2 linked regions of the Lonchura striata genome follow. The protein of the gene in region 2 interacts with the protein of the main gene of each other region in a biochemical or structural test. Links are inferred from orthologs where the notes say so. Each region holds a gene or a part of one and is shown on either strand. Other genes may lie near its edges. The genes, in order: protein S100-A11-like and ANXA1.

Region 1 (8,565 bases), on a different chromosome or scaffold from region 2:
ACCGTGAACAGGAGCTGGATGTGTCTGAGCGTCGGACACGGGAAAGGGAGGAAGAAGTGGCCACCATTAATCTGAGAGAGACACGGGAGAGACGAGAGCGAGAAATTCGTGACCTTGATGATGATGGAAGGAGAAGACAAGAAGTGTATGACAGGAGAAGAGAGATCTCAGTGGCAGCAGCAGAAGCCGATGTCAGAGTGCAACGTGAGATCCAGGAACGAGGTGAGGAGCTGAGAAGGAGAGAACGTCCCCGTGAGTGTGAAGAGAGGAGAATCTGCCCCAGAAGAGACAGGGAAGAGCCCCTGAGGAAAGGGAGAATCGACCGTGAACGGGATCTGGAGGTGTCTGAGAGCCGGACACGGGAAAGGGAGGAAGAAGTGGCCACAGTTGGCCTGAGAGAGACACGGGAGAGACGAGAGCGAGAAATTCGTGAGCTTGATGATGGAAGAAGACAAGAAGTGTATGACCGGAGAAGAGAGATCTCAGTGGCAGCAGCAGAAGCCGATGTCAGAGTGCGCCGTGAGATCCGGGAACGAGGTGAGGAGCTGAGAAGGAGAGAACGTCCCCGTGAGGGTGAGGAGAGGAGAATCTGCCCCAGAAGAGACAGGGAAGAGCCCCTGAGGAAAGGGAGAACCGACCATGAACAGGATCTGGAGGTGTCTGAGAGCCGGACACGGGAAAGGGAGGAAGAAGTGGCCGCCATTAACCTGAGAGAGACACGGGAGAGACGAGAGCGAGAAATTCGTGAGCTTGATGATGATGGAAGGAGAAGACAAGAAGTGTATGACAGGAGAAGAGAGATCTCAGTGGCAGCAGCAGAAGCCGACGTCAGAGTGCGCCGCGAGATCCGGGAACGAGGTGAGGAGCTGAGAAGGAGAGAACGTCCCTGTGAGGGTGAGGAGGAAGCAGAGCCAGGGAGGAGAATCTCCCGGGTCAGAGAGAGGGAAGAGGCCCTGAGGGAGAGGAGAATCGACCGGGAGCGGGAGCTGGAGCTGGAGCTGGAGCTGGAGGCCTCTGAGTGCCGCAGCCGCCAGCCACGGGCCAGGGCGGCCGAAGTGACCATCACTGACCAGAGGGAGGCACGTGAGGAGATCCGGCTGGACGTGCTGGAGGAAGAAGAGGAGGAGGAGCTGGAGCAGGGCCGGTGCCGCTACCAGACCCTGGACGTGGATTTGGGTGATCCCTGCCCCCTGGGGCAGGAGGTGCCCGTCAGTGACCTCAGGGTCCGCTACCTCCCCGCTGAGCCCGAGCTCCGGCCCGATGTCCGGCCGCTCCCCGAGCCCGTGGAGCCTCAGACCGTCGCCTACCTGGTGCACGTGATCCAGAACCTGGAGGACCCCAAGGCCACCACCTACGAGATCGTGTGCCACCAGCCCGGCCAGCGGGGCCGGCCCGTGCGCATCCGGACCTGCTCCGTGTCCCCGCGGCCACCCACTGACCGCAGGGGCCACCCCGAGGCGCTGCCACCCGAATGCCAGGACAACCCCGAGGCTCCGGATGAGCCCCGGGAAAAATCCGGGAATGAGGTGAAGGACGGAGCCCTCCGGGATTCCGCCGAGCCGGAGGCTGGGAAAGGCGAGCGGGTGAAATCCAAGGAGACCCGGAGGCGCCCCGAGATCCCCGAGGTGGAGCAGGGCCAGCCCCAGGGTGAGGGACCCCAGAAGGTCCCGCGGGAGCCCGGAGCCGGCTGCCAGCGGAGAGAGCGCCAGGACAGCGAGGCCAAGAGCTGCGTCCCCCCGGAACGTCGGGATGCGGAGCGGAGAGACCCCGGGGAGACGCGCAGAGAGGGAGGCCAGGAGGGTGAGGAGGCTCCTGAGGAGGAGCCCAGCAAGAGGAGCCCCCGGGAATCCGGCAGCTCCCAGGTTCCTCGGGAAGGTGGCACCAAGCAGGGCCAGGAGGCCCCGAGCCGCCCCAGGGATGAATCCAAGACATCCTGAGGAGAATCTGCCTCTCCCTGGAGCCTCTCCGGTCCTTTTGAGGGTCACTTCTGCGCCCATTGCCAGCTGGGGATGCGGTGGCCCGGCAGGGATGGACTCAAAAGGATCCCGGGGTGTCCAGTGGGGTCTGGGGGCTTTTCCCTGGAATGAATCCTCAGCAGGAAGCAAGATCCCCGCAGATCCGGAGATTCTGCCTCCCTGTTGAGTGTGTCCCTCGATATTTAATCACTTTTTCTGCTCTGATTGGAGTCCTTGGGTGCCTCTGTCCTCTTTTGCACCCTGGGGTGTCACTTCAGGTCTCCCCGGCCCCAGGGCTGGGGCTGCTCTCGGCTTCTGCCGTGAAACTCAAAGAAAATTCCTGATTTTGGGGTCTAGAAATCCTCGAGGCTGGGGAAAAAAATCACCTTTTTAGCCTCGATTCCAGCAGAATTCCAGCTCCAGGCCCGGGGGTTTGGGGTTCACAGGGTGCTGGTGGTGGGTGGGGGATTCTCCTTCTTCTCCTTTTCCTTTTCCTTCCTTTTTGTCGCATGGAAAATGGGAATAAACAACTGATTCCTGCAGAAGCTCTGAGCATCACCTTCCGGAGGGCTGGGAGGGCTGGGAGGGGGGCCCAGCTCGGATCAGGCAATCCCAGTTGGGATCAGACATTCCCAGTTGGGATCAGACGTTCCCAGTTGAGATCAGGAATTCCCAGTTGAGATCAGGCATTCCCAGTTGAGATCAGGAATTCCCAGTTGGGATCAGACGTTCCCAGTTGGGATCAGACATTCCCAGTTGGGATCAGACATTCCCAGTTGGGATCAGGAATTCCCAGTTGGGATCAGACATTCCCAGTTGGGATCAGGCATTCCCGGTTGGGATCAGACATTCCCAGTTGGGATCAGGAATTCCCAGTTGGTATCAGGCGTTCCCAGTTAGGATCAGACATTCCCAGTTGGGATCAGACATTCCCAGTTGGGATCAAGCATTCCCAGTTCAGCCCCCAAACTCCTCCTAATCCCAAATCCTGATCCCAATCCAAACCCAATCCCACTCCCAAATCCCGCTCCAGGCCGGAGCCAGGGGCTCTCCCAGGGCTCTGTCCCCATGTTGTCCCCAAGTGATGGGGACGGGGACAGGGACAGGGACAGAGGGACAGGGACAGGGACAGGGGGACAGGGACAGAGGGACAGGGACAGGGACAGGGACAGGGGGATAGGGACACAGGGACAGGGACAGGGACAAGGACAGGGACAGAGGGACAGGGACAGAGGGACAGGGACAGAGGGACAGGGACAGGGACAGGGACAGACGGACAGGGACGGGGACAGGGACAGGGATGGGGACAGAGGGACAGGGACAGGGACAGAGGGACAGGGACAGGGGGACAGGGACAGATGGACAGGGACGGGGACAGGGACAGTGGGGATGGGGGCAGAGGGACAGGGACAGGGACAGAGGGACAGGGACAGGGACAGGGACAGAGGGACAGGGGCAGGGACACAGGGACAGGGACAGGGACAGGGACAGAGGGACAGGGGCAGGGACAGGGACAGAGGGACAGGGGCAGGGACACAGGGACAGGGACAGGGACAGGGACAGGGACAGAGGGACAGGGGCAGGGACAGAGGGACAGGGACAGGGGGACAGGGAGACAGGGACAGGAGAGGGACAGGGACAGAAAGAGGAACAGGAACAGACACGGCTCGGTGACGGTGACAGGCATGGGGCCAGGGACAGGAACAGGAACTGGGACAGTGCCAATGCCAGTGCCAGTGCCAGGGGCAGGGCCAGTGGCACAGCTCGGTGACAATGCCAACGGCAGGAACAGTGACTCTGGCAGGGACAGAACAGTGACACTGGCACAGCTCGGTGACAATGCCAGGGACGGGAACAGTGACACTGGCAGGGCTCGGTGGCAGTGCCAGGGCCAGTGGCACAGCTCGGTGACAATGCCAGGGACAGGAACAGGAACAGTGACACTGGCAGGGACAGAACAGTGACACTGGCAGAGCTCAGTGACAATGCCAGGGACAGGAACAGGAACAGTGACACTGGCAGGGACAGAACAGTGACACTGGCACAGCTCGGTGACAATGCCAGGGACGGGAACAGTGACACTGGCAGGGACAGAACAGTGACACTGGCACAGCTCGGTGACAATGCCAGGGACAGGACAGTGACACTGGCACAGCTCGGTGGCAGTGCCAGGGACAGTGACACAGGAAAAGGGAAATTCCCTTTGGGAAAGGTGGCTTGGGGGAAAATCCCAATATTCAGGAAAAATGGGAGTTTGGGGGCAGGAAACTGAGGGGAAAAGGAAAAATCTCCCAAGTCCCAGAGGAATTCCCGGGATCCCAACACTCATCCTGCTCCCCGGTGTTTAACCCCTCTCTGTTCCAGACAGCCCCAGAGATTTTTGGGATTTTCCCCTTTTTCCTGCTCCAGGCTCCCCCTGAATATTTTGGGATTTCCCCTTCTCCTGCTCCAGGCTCTCCGGGAAGATTTTTGAGGAAATTTCCCCCCTTTTTTTCCCCAACCTCCCCGTTAAGATTTTTGGGATTTTTCCCCCGCTCCCCTGGCCGAGGACGACCCCAGGGATATCCCGGGACGGAGCAGGATTTGGGAATGCCCGCACAGCCCCGGAGCCGGGCCGGGCACATTCCGGAGGCTCGGGAGGAGCCGCGGTTGCCGCTGGAAACGGGAATTGCTCAACGCGGCCGGCGCTGACTCAGCCCGGGCGGGGCTCCCGAACTTTCCCCGAGCTTTTTTCCCGATCCTACAATTCCAGAGCGGAGCGGAGCCGCCGCTGTCCCAGCCATGGTGAGGAATTCCCGGGAATTTGCGGGGGGAAACGGACCCGGAGCGGGGAAAAGGAGGTTTTCCCGCAAAATGCCTCAAAATCGGAGCGGGACGGAGGCGGGGATGGTCCCAAGGGGTGGAATTTCCAGGGAAAAGGGAAAAGGGTCCGGCAGGTGTGGGAGAGGTGATTCCAGAGGGGGAAGGGGAGGGGAAAGGAGATTTTCGCACAAAACGACCCAAAATTGGAGCGGGGAGGGGTTAGGGCGTGGTCCCAAGGGGAAAACGGCGGGGAAGAAACGGAAAAACGGAAAAAAACCGGGGGAAAACAGTGAAAAAACGGGGGAAACGGGGAAAAAACCGGGGGGAAACGAGGGGGAAATGGGGGCGGGAACGGGGGGAAAACCGGGGCAGAAATCGGGTGGAAAATGGGAAAAAGCAGAGAAAACCAGGAAAAAACAGGGGGAAAAAACAGAGAAAAAGGGGGAAATGGATGAAAACCAGGGAAAAACCGGGGGAAAAAACAGAGAAAACGGGAAAATGGATGAAAACCAGGGAAAAACCGGGGTGGGTTGGGGAGAAATGGGGGGAAACTGGGGAAGAACGGGATTATCTCCCAAAAACGCGCCTCAGCCGGAGGCCGGATCCGGCCCGGCCCTTCCCACCCCGCGGGATCCGCCGCCTCCCCGGGGATTTTCCAGGAGCCGCTCCCGCTCCGCTTCCCGCTGTGCCAAGGAGCGAAATCCAGGGAAAAATGCGGCCGAACGGGTCTGGCTGAGCCCTTCCCACATCCCCAAAAAACCGGGATCCTCCTCCAGCCTTTCCCACATCCCCAAAAAACCGGGATCCTCCTCCAGCCCTTCCCACATCCCCAAAAAACCGGGATCCTCCTCCAGCCCTTCCCTCATCCCCAAAAAAACCGGGATCCTCCTCCAGCCCTTCCCACATCCCCAAAAAACCGGGATCCTCCTCCAGCCCTTCCCTCATCCCCAAAAAACCGGGATCCTCCTCCAGCCCTTCCCTCATCCCCAAAAAACCGGGATCCTCCTCCAGCCCTTCCCTCATCCCCAAAAAACCGGGATCCTCCTCCAGCCCTTCCCACATCCCCAAAAAACCGGGATTGCTCCTGGAACACCTGGAAGGGGCAGGGAGCCTTTCCCTGCTCCCAAAAAACCCCAGGATTTCTCCCTGGAACACCCGAAATGGGCACAGGAGGTGTTTCCCTGCTCCCCGGAAATTCGGGATTGCTCCTTGGCACACCTGGAGTGGGAAGGGAGGATCCTCTAGCCGTTCCCCCATCCAAAAAAAAAACGGGATTAGGGGGCCTTTCCCTGCTCCCAAAAGACCTGGAATCGCTCCTGGAATGGGCAGAGGAGGCTCCTCCAGCCCTTCCCTCATCCCAAAAACACCGGGATTGCTCCTGGAATGGGCACAGGGGTCCCACCCTCCCTCATCCCCAAATCCCGGGATTACCCTGGCACACCTGGGATGGGCACAGGGATCCCTGCACCCCCAAATCCCGGGATTGCCCTGGCACAGCTGGGATGGGCACAGGGATCCCTGCACCCCCAAATCCCGGGATTGCCCTGGCACAGTGGGATGGGCACAGGGATCCCTGCACCCCCAAATCCCGGGATTGCCCTGGCACAGCTGGGATGGGCACAGGGATCCCTGCACCCCCAAATCCCGGGATTGCCCTGGCACAGTGGGATGGGCACAGGATTCCCTGCACCCCCAAATCCCGGGATTGCCCTGGCACAGTGGGATGGGCACAGGGATCCCTGCACCCCCAAATCCCGGGATTGCCCTGGCACAGTGGGATGGGCACAGGGATCCCTGCACCCCCAAATCCCGGGATTGCCCTGGCACAGTGGGATGGGCACAGGGATCCCTGCACCCCCAAATCCCGGGATTGCCCTGGCACAGCCGGGATGGGCACAGGATTCCCTGCACCCCCAAATCCCGGGATTGCCCTGGCACAGTGGGATGGGCACAGGATTCCCTGCCCTCCCTCACCCCGAATCCCGGGATTTGCCCGCAGCCCACGGAGACGGAGCGCTGCATCGAGTCGCTGCTGGCCGTGTTCCAGCGCTACGCCGGCCGCGAGGGCAGCTCCGTCACCCTCTCCAAGCGGGAATTCCGCGCCTTCATGGACACCGAGCTGGCCGCCTTCACCAAGGTCCGGGAACGCGGGCTGGGATCCTCGGGATCCACGGGATGGGGCGGGATCAGTGGGATCAGTGGGATCCGTGAGATTGGAATGGGATCCATGGGGTGGGATGGGATCCATGGGGTGGGGTGGGATCAGTGGGATTGGGATGGGATCCATGGGATTTGGATGGGATCCATGGGATTGGGATGGGATCCATGGGATGGAGTGGGATCAGTGGGATCCATGGGATCTGTGGGATTGGGATGGGATGCATGGGATTAGGATGGGATCCATGGGATTGGGATGGGATCCATGGGATGGGGTGGGATCAGCGGGATCCATGGGATCTGTCGATTGGGATGGGATGCATGGGATTTGGATGGGATCCATGGGATTGGGATGGGATCCATAGGATGGGGTGGGATCAGTGGGATCCATGGGATTTGGATGGGATCCATGGGATTGGGATGGGATCCATGGGATGGGGCGGGATCAGTGGGATCCATGGGATCTGTGGGATTGGGATGGGATGCATGGGATTAGGATGGGATCCATGGGATTGGGATGGGATCCATGGGATGGGGTGGGATCAGTGGGATCCATGGGATCTGTCGATTGGGATGGGATGCATGGGATTAGGATGGGATCAATGGAATTGGAATGGGGATAGCATCAATGGGATCCATGGTATTGGGATGGGATCAGTGGGTTTGGGACGGGATCAATGGAACTGGAATGGGATCAATGGGATCCATGGGATTGGGATGGGATCAGTGGGTTTGGGACAGGATCAATGGGATGAAGGGGATGGGGTGGGATGAATGGAATCCGTGGATTGGGGGGGGGGGTGGGATTGGATCAAGGGGATCCATGGGATCAATGGAATGGGATGGGATTGGATCAAGGGGATCCATGGGATCAATGGAATGGGATGGGAACGATGGGATGGGATCAATGGGATGAGATGATCCGGGGGCTCCCGGCCCTGGGGATGTGCCGGGATGGGATCTGGAGCGGGTTGAGGGATTGTGGGAACACCACTGACCGCGGCTGTTCAGGGATTTTCCATCCCCAACCATTCCAGGATCCCGCGAGCTCCCAGCCCTGCCTGGGCAGGGAATTCCCCTCAGCCCAGGCACCGAAATTCCCGTTTTCCTGCAGAACCAGAAGGACCCGGGCGTGGTGGACAGGATGATGAAGAAGCTGGACATGAACAGCGACGGGCAGCTGGATTTCCAGGAATTCCTGAACCTCATCGGGGGCATCGCCGTGGCCTGCCACGACTCCCTGATCCTCAAATCCCCCAACCCCTGAATCCAGAGGCGCCGGCTCCGCCCCGGATCGCCCCAGGGAATGCTGGAAGTCATGGAATGCCCCCATTCCCTTTCCCCCCCCGACTTTTTTATGGATAAATAAAAGGTTGAAGACCCCGAGTGACTCCAGGATGAGTGAGGGGGGGAAGAATCCCGAAGTGATCCTCACCCGCTCCGAATTCCAGGAATTCCCTCCAGGGATGGGATCCAACCCTCCCTGAGCCCCTTTCGCTGCTTCCCAACCCTTTTCCCATGGAAAAATCATCCCGAATTTCCCACCCTGGCACAGCTCAAGGCCGTTCCCTCCTGTCTTGCCCCATTCCCTGGGATCAGATCCTAAATTCCCCCTGGGATCAGATCCCAAATCCCTTTTCCAGAGGCTCCA
Region 2 (9,116 bases):
AAACCACAAGAAAATAAGCATGGTTCTCTCAAAAGTTGATGATACTTACAATACATTCATTTTCCTGGTTTTCAATGAACCATGCCTGCTTCAGGAATTCTGATACCATAGCCATGGTGACACGAGTTTCTGGGAAGAGATGTATCAAGTTACAAACAATTTTCCATCATTTTGAGCAGCAGTGCAACTTTAGATTTTCTACCTTCAAAATCACTTATCTAGCACGATGACATGTTGTGGTTAATGTCCCCATGGTAACTGGCCTGTACTATTGGAGGCAAGCAACTTTGATGTTTTATGAGTGATGTGATGCTTCACGGCTGCTTGCTCACCCCTACACTCTTAGCTACTTTCAGAAGTTTTAGATAAGAACAGCAGTAGTACTATGTATGTTCTTACAGCAATACATTAGCATTTACTTACAAAGGCAAGTTACTAGAAACCAATTAGCTAATCTATCATCTATGCCCATTTAGTTTGATCATTTTGAAGTTCCCTTGTAAACAAGGGTTCTTGTCTCATCATTTACTGACAGTGGAGATCTTGTGTATTATGTTAGGAAAAAAGAAATTCCCTTGTTAATATACTTTCGTGTAATTTCTTTGACTAGACATTTTCTAAGGAAGATGAGTAAATCTGGATAGTTTTGTATACATTGCTTTTTCTACAATTTCTGCATAATAATAATAAAACATTACCAATTTAAGAAGAGGAAATAAAAACAAGTTTTGCTTTTTACCACTAAGAAAGAAAGTCCACCCATCTTTCCCAAAAGTCATTATGCAGAAAAGGAAAAAATGAGAAGTGATGTAACATTAAGTACTCAAAAATAATTAACAGGTTGCTTCATAACAACTTCTGTTGTTGGTGTGGGGAATATTCTGTTTGTTAACTGAAATAGTGAGGAAATAGAAAGAAGAAATAAATAGTTTATCAAATAAAATTATTCAAACTAGATTTTTTTATTCAAGTTATTCAAACTTATTTTTTTAACACTCCTCCTCAGCAAGGTCTAGGGAGGACTTGGTTTTAAAGCAGATGTGTAAGCAATAACTAGAGATAGTGCTACTGAGTAAACAAGACTGATTTTGAAACTGGTGTTAAGAGACAAAATTCTTTTTGCAGTCTTGGAGTACAGATCATATACACAATTTTAAAAAATCATGTTAGTTATGCTGCTAACACATCCCCTCTGTCCTATAGGAAGGGTAGAGACCAGCCTTTTGACTTTGAAGTTGTGAACCAAGGAGTGTAGCTGCAGCCCAGCTCTTTCTTCCCCTCACAGCTAAACTGTAAAGCTTCCTTCTGCACTCAGCAGTCAAAAAAGTGACAAATAAATACCTCACACAGGCTGCCAGCAGCTCTCTCCAAGGTAAGAGCTAGCCATATTCCCTCTTCCTCAAAAATCTCTTGCTTTTGTTTCCTTCCCTCAGGAAGGAATTTAGTGCTGCCAGAAAAGCTGAAACTGATTTAAAATCGGGATTAATATGTTATTTACAGTAAGTCTCAAATGGGCAAGTAATGAACAGAATATTCAGTCAGATTTAAAGATCTACTTTTATGACCTGCTATTTATTCAGGATCAGAAAAGCATGCTCACAGCACAACTGCAACCTGCACTTTGCTCAGGCTGTCAGAGTGACTTCTGCATCCTTCTACTGACCGAAGTTAACAGTGGCAGATGAAGCAGTATGGTACCCAAAATTCTGCTGCATTTTGTAACAGCACACATGAAGGCCATATGCAGCGGGACGGAAACACTTGAAAGTCTCCATACTGGGAACACTGAGTCATCAGTGCTGGCATGTCCTGGTATGTCTGCTGACTAACTGATTCACAGAGCAGAGAACCACTTCAAACTATGAAAAAAGATTCAATCTCCCAGCACCAGATCTGAGAAGACATGTGTTTTGCCTGATAAAGTAATATTCTTCAGGGAGAGCTACCTTCAGGAAGCACATCCCTTTCTTCTACATATTGCTACATGCACCCATGACACCAAGATCTAAAGGTTCCCATGCTTTTGGGGTTGGCTAGAGCAGAAGGCTACTAGACTATACTAAACTGGTTTTATTAAGCCTCTAAAGCTTCATGTCTTTTCTGGCTTAAATGATACAGTAAGAAAAAAAGTCTGTGCCTTAAAAACTTTTTAAAGTTCTTTTTTTTTTTTTTTTTTCCTTTTCTTTTGAAATAGAGACGCTGGCATGCAGATCCATCTATTTCCATCTAGTAAAGAAAAAATGCAATTTTAATATAAGTCAAAGTAGTCAACAGCCCTTGGAGGGAGCTGAAGACCTTAGTCTTCTTGAATTAGCTTTGTAAGGTAAGAAACCAACTTAATATAAAAGTCTTCTGCTTTGGAAGAAACTACAGCTGATAAGTAAAAAGAAGGCTGGCATCTAGAAAGCCAGCCCCCTGATGGAGACAAGATCTTGCCAATACTTTGTCCTGCCACTATAAAATGTAAAGAGATCTTGTTAACAATACCTAAATCCAGGAGGGATACATTCAGTCCAAATAGCACTTCAATATATTATGAAAAGGACTGAAGCAACTGATTCCCTGTTGGAATGATCAACATCACAACAGGATTGAAAAATCAGACATACATCCAGACTGAAAGCCCTAACGGTTGTTTCACAAAAATCACCACAATTTTGCTTTCTGTCTGGCTCTTAATCCCTTGAAGATGCACCCTTGAAAAGGACCAATCAAAAATGTTTAGGATTTTGAGAAAATACTTTATTAAAAATATTTAAAGACACAACTAGATTTTTACTCTATAATCTGTGTCAAATGACAGCATTTATCTATGCTTATTTAACCATATCATGAAGCATGTCAAATGCCTGGCTACTTTCAAACGCTGAATACCAGGATCTTGATGTAAATTACAGTCATGTCAGTCAGAAAAACAGGCAGGAGATCTAATACAGTAATTTACTTTGCAGTAGAAAGTCTCTGAATTTGGAAACATCAAAGAAAAAAACAATCTCATCCTTGTAAAAGTCTGGAAAAGGAAAGCAGCAAGAACCCCAGATGACACAGCTTTTACATGGCTTTGCCAAGTTCTTAGTCAGAAAAGCAAGATTTTGTCTTACGTTTCTAAAACATGGGATGATTTCTACATTTGATTTCTAATTTGATTTCTAAGATATTTGATTCTCATCACTTTCATGAACAATGATTGCTCTACAGTCATAGTGCAGCAAACTGTTGTTGAACTAACAACAGCTGCTGCTATTTTTTAAGTTTACATACACAGCATTGTTTTCTAGGAACTCCGGTTTTACTACAGATTTCTACAGCAGCCTACTAAAAAGGCAAAGATAAAGCAAATGAAATGGTCTACTACAAGTAAGTTTGCTTTTGAAGTTTTAACCGTATTTTATTTCATTGCATTAAATAAAAGCAGTAATTTCCCTAGCCCTTATGTAAAATGTTCTAGAATAGAAAGAATTTCTCCTACCTGCACCCATATTTTTCCCTGACAATAAAAGTCCAACCCACAGAAAGTTTACACCAGGTCATTTGACAAATTCAGCATACAATTCCTAAAGTGCTGGGTCTACAGAGAGCAATAATGAACTACAAAATCCTACCTTTCTCCTCACTAGCACCGTTTTGCTGGCCTGCACAGTCAGAAGCAAAGGAGCAGAGGGCTCTCAAAGCTTTTGTAGCCTGTGCAGGAAACTCCACCCAGCAACCAGTGTTTCCACAGCCCTAGTAATCATCTGCAGCAGCTATATCTGGGTGCCACCCAAAGTCTAAAAACATTAGGAAAAAAAAAAAAGTCATTGCGAAACTATGTGCTGGCGAAAGTATGAGCAGCTTTCAGAAGGGAAAAGACAACAAATGAGCAGGCCATGGTAGCACTCCTGCCCTGACCACACCCTCAGTTTTAATAAATTGCCATAAATATTTTGGTATCAGACAATTATATCTTAAGAAAAAAAAATGGGTAATTCTCTTCACATATTTATGTTTGATATAATTTCAAAAGTGACTGTATTAAGATATATCTTTGCTCAGTGAAACTTAGGGAGAAGAAAGGGTGAAGAGTCAAGGCAGCATCCTCACTTCACTGAGATCCGGTGGCTATCAGCTCTGCAGCTTTTGAATGTGGGTCCATGGCAGAAATAACTCAGGAATAAAACATGTATTTCATGTAAATAACTTTTTTTTTCTTGGAAACAAACTCATAGAAAAAGCAGACTTAATACAAGGGCAATAATTGGCACCTACATAATTAGAAATAAATTGAAACAATCAGATTAAACTCTGAAGTTCAAAGCGAGAGTGATTTGCACAAGATGAGGGCCTATCTGCTAGAAGGTTTTCTGCAAGCACTTCCTTGCCAAGCCAGCACAGCACAACGCCATCACTAACACCTCAGATTGGCCTGGAGCATGGTGCCCAGTGAAGAAATACCTGTTGCTGAACCAGAAGTGTTTGCAATGGGCAGATGGGGTCCCAGCAGACTTTCATCCTCCTCCTGCTGACTGACTGCAATGCACAGGTACCTCCAATATGGCTGATCTGCCCCACATGAACACACATGAAATGCAGTCTCTCCTTGAAGCCCATGTCTAGCAATTAATTGTATGAAGAGGAAGAGGAACAGACTGATGGTAATTATTAGATGGAATGCTCACAAATTTCTCAAATGCAAAATAACAGACATGCATGTTCTTGCATAACTTACATCTTTCTCTGTACACCCAAATATGTGCTGCTCAGAGTAATCTGCTCATCACATTCAAGGAGGTCCCCATCCCAGAAGCCTGAGAGAGCCTCCAGGAGTGCTAAGGATACGGCAGCCTCAGCCCTCATTCCCCACTTGAGCTACTGCCCTGCTGCCTTGCAGAGGGCTGGGACTGAAAGTGGGACCCAGCCTATGTGCTGATGGTCTGTCACATTCCCATCCCCAGAGAGGTGTCAAATGCTTGAAGCTGGGGCTGCCTACAGTGCCAACTCCACGTCTTTTGCTGCTGGCTGGGGTGATGGGATAGGAGGGCTTCCAGGTCCTGCCTGCTGAGCCCCATGGGAACACTTCTAGCCCCCAGGGAGTCCCCAGTCCCCCTGACTCTCTGAGAGCAATTTTCTCCTATGCTTTGCTATTTCCCTTCCCTCTGTACATTTATCATTTGACAAAAGTATTTCAGATGTTTCCAGTAAACTGAATAATTGAAGCTGACAAGGATACAGTGAGCAAGCTATCAGATGTATGTAGATTTGTTTATTTAATTATGATGTGTGATGTACAGACTACTTGAGCCCACCCAAATTCCATTTCAGAATGACACTAGCAGTCTTATTTCAGTTGGCTTAGGTGTTGGCCAGAACCTCTACTTTTACTCTTTTTCTGGAGCTGTTTCCCCTGTCTATTAATGAGCATAGCTAAGGGTAGGAATCAGTGTACTAGAAGTGCATAGTAAGACACTCCTCCATGTTGACTTTTTTCTAATATAGTTTTTTCATAATCATATTCCTACCCCATTTTTATCATGGTATTTTTTACTTTTGGTTTTTGGGCTTTTTAAAATATAATTGTATTGTCTTTCAGGCCAATGGTTCCACCTTCAGAGTGATATCACAGGAAAGTACAACTTGTACTAATAGTCATTGAAGAAGCTGTTGCATTTGCTTTTCCTCCTTAATGGGTGGACAGATGCTGGTTGACTCACTGTCTTCCTGGACCTCAGCTGAGTCACCATCAGCACTAGAGTGCTTTATTGTACAAAATGCTGCCACTTAAAAAAATGCAGTTTTGCATTTGGATGGAGCTCTTAACAATTGTTTTTTATTAAGTTTTTAACTCTTACTATGTCATTTGTTTCATAAAGCTATCACAGTTTGCATACTGTTTATTGTTGAGTTGTCATAATTTTTTCAGAAGAGGCAAAGCATATAGCCACTGTTGTAGAGGTTCAAATGTCTCAAAAGTGACAAAAATAAATATGTTTGTTTACAACACTCAATGCATGGAATGCAACAGAGAAAAACAGAAATGTTCAGTGAATATAGAAAAGAAAAATGGTAACTTGATAAACTGCCAGATTTGGCCACGCCAAATATTTCTCTTAAGGCTAGTAATGACTCAGCTCATTTGGGAAGATGGGATTTCCCTAAGCAATCCATCCTACACAAAATGATAGGAAAGTGAGTCAGGAATTTTCATGGCGTTCGAGAGCGAGAGCAGCAGCCCTTACATCTGTTTCTGAGGCTGCTACCAACCTGCTGTAACTCTGTGTTTATTCCACCCTAGGTGCCTTAAAGAAGAGTTAAGGTTGCAGAAATTTAGGAAATGATGAGTCTACCACATTTTACAAATGACCTTCAGACTGCCTATGAGATAAACTTTAAGAGAAAATTGATGCTCACATTGTTATGAAATAGCATTAGCCTGAGGGAGCTACTGACAGTATGGTCAGGCAATAAATCATAAAACAGAGCTCTGCCTGTTTCATGCCATGACAGCCATCCATTTTGAACCGTCTGATAGCAATCCAGAGCCACTGGGAATCTGCCTCTCTGATCTTTGGCACCTTAGCTTTTATAGACTTCCTAAAAACCTGAGGAGAAACACATTACTTGGCTTCCTTAGGCACCCAGGACCTGCAGCGTAGCATCTCTACACAGGTTACAGGCAACAGAGACATTAATATCAAAGATACAGATCTAAGAGTATGTATGACTTACAGCAGGCCTACTGAAGGCAGTAATGCTCCCAAGAAGACATTCCAGAGATCATGCAGTGTTTTTGCTACATATTCCTGTACAAATCCTATTTTAGGAAGTGTGTCTCAGTTACATTATTCAGAAAAATATCTTTCTGCATATTGAGATACAGGGCCACCTCAGACCTTCATCTCTTCCTTTGACACACACAAGAGATTAAATATCAAATTCAATGAGAACAGCTACACTATCTATTAATTTGCACGTGATCTGCATGGTTCTAGTGAGGTCCATCTAGAGCCCATTTAGGTTGTGATTATGTATATCCCTGTGATCCTATATTATGGGCTGGATGGATTCAAATCTAGATATGCAATTTCTTTTTTTAGTTTCATGCTTAAGCAAAAAAATATTAATTAGACACAATAAGACATTCAAAACTGCATAATATCTCTTATGGATTATCTGTTAAAAGTTTATTTCTATTGTATTTTCCATTCAAATCATGTTTCAGTTCTGAACCTCTTTGCAAGCTTGTAAATAGGGAAAAGATTGGGCAACATGCATTTGTTGATACTGATGCAAAACAAATCATAAATATTTTTGAGGCATCTTCTAACAAGTATTCATTTTATTTACACTGCATAAAATATTTAACACCTCTGTCTTTTAACATGGATTTGCATTTTGTTATTGCCTCATGAAATACTAAATTAGCAATAATTCTCAGGCAGCAGGAATTCCATGGTTTAATCAAACACACATCTGTTTCTATAACCAACTTTAATACTTACTGCTCTCTTAGTTGCAGTAAATACTTCTTTGCAGTTTCCTAAATTTTTAGAAGTGTAATGGGATATTCTGAGTCTTATGGTTAAACATGGCTTGGCTATCCAGAACACACAAAATTTTTATGAGCAGCCCCCTACACAGAGAAATAAAAATAGCCTATCCTCTCATAGAAACAAGCAGAGTAACCACATGAGAAATCATGTCAAGGCAACATCATTTTGGAGAGTAGAAATCCTATTCAGTTTAAATTAACTCAAGTTCAGAGAAATGCTTCCAGAAGCTTTTCAATATCTCAGATAGTCTTCTAGACAAAAACCCCTATAACTGTGTGCCAAAGTAATTTATATGAGGAAAATGTAGACCTTCTAGGAAGCCTCTGGGAAAAAAACATTGGAAGACTTTGTTACACGTATCTTCATGCAAATCACAGTAGAGTGAAACAGACCTGTTTGATGATAAAGTTCTGACAGAAATAGTAAATTACAGTGGAAGGTAAAGCTCAGTGAACATTCAGGGGAAAGTGCTAAGGGGACAAGGAAAAGTGGGAATGCATAAGCTTTTTACAGTCCTATGCAGTGTACAATGCTAATCTGAGGGTGCAAATAATGACAGAAGAGTCATTCAGGTCCAGGGAACATAAGTGAATTTAAACAATTCTACTGTGCATAAAAGCTGTGGAAATGTCAGTGCCCTTAATGGAGAAAATGTCCAAACATCTTCCCCGACAAAAAAACCAAAACCAGAGAGTTGGTGGTATGTCACAACTGATTTTAGGAGGAAGGGAACTGGGCTTTCTCTTCTAGGGAAACCAAGCAGCAGGATGAGCAGTCCTCTGCTTTACAAGAGACAAAACCCTGCTGCACAATTAAGTTGTTGTGACTTCAAAGAAAGAAGAGACAATACTAATTAGCAAAAAATTAATCAGCAGATCAACCACCTGTGGTACTGCAATATGCAGGTTAAATATATCCATCTGGGATTTCCCAGTTTATTCGGCATTCTGAAATTGATTCCTTGAAGTAACTTTACATCTGCTGCCATTTCTTGCACCATTTTTTCTTTTAAAGTAAATTAATATTATAAATATTTATAAAAACATTCTTAGCAAACTGTGCTCCATTGGTTGCTGTTGAAATACATACCAGTGAGTGGATCTATTAACAAAAAATGTCGAGGTTAAACAATAAAACATATTTTATTCCCTGTCTACAATGAGGAGCAAGTGCCATGCTCTGAATCTTCCGAATCACTTCAGTCAAGGTCATATTTTTTTTCTGAGTGGCATCGCCCTGACTTGGGTCCCACTACGATGAAGAAACAAGAATTACATAATAAGTGCATAATAGTAAATCATGTTTTGCTTATTGTGTACATTGAAGGTGGGGTAAGAACAGTCATAAAAACCTCAGGAAACTATGCATTCCATTCACTCGTGTAACATCTTGTTCCCATAACAGTGAGGGTGGTTTGTGCTTAGAAGTTTTGGGAGACTGCTTGGCTATTACTATTTCACTCAGCAGCTTACCTGCCAAAATTAGGAGACAACTAATTCACAATTAGTCAGTGATTGCAAAACTTGTTTGCTTCTATGGAACATTAGAATAGTTTAACCTCAGAAAAAATAGAACTTTTCATGTACCTTT

What was found.
Region 1: the proteins of ANXA1 (region 2) and protein S100-A11-like form a complex in vitro, tested with the Homo sapiens proteins (2 studies listed by BioGRID). The link is inferred for Lonchura striata from reciprocal best matches to the Homo sapiens genes ANXA1 and S100A11.

Annotation. Positions count from the first base shown.
Region 1 is NC_134635.1:3,538,679-3,547,243, forward strand, and holds protein S100-A11-like, read left to right. Parts: upstream 1-4,626; 5' UTR 4,627-4,736; coding exon 4,737-4,739; intron 4,740-6,756; coding exon 6,757-6,894; intron 6,895-8,028; coding exon 8,029-8,181; 3' UTR 8,182-8,297; downstream 8,298-8,565. Other genes in the region: TCHH (trichohyalin), read left to right, coding at 1-1,937. UniProt on the Homo sapiens protein: Facilitates the differentiation and the cornification of keratinocytes.
Region 2 is NC_134642.1:70,459,951-70,469,066, forward strand, and holds the start of ANXA1 (annexin A1), read right to left. Parts: upstream 3,696-9,116; 5' UTR 3,603-3,695; intron 130-3,602; 5' UTR 116-129; coding exon 50-115; intron 1-49. UniProt on the Homo sapiens protein: Plays important roles in the innate immune response as effector of glucocorticoid-mediated responses and regulator of the inflammatory process. Has anti-inflammatory activity.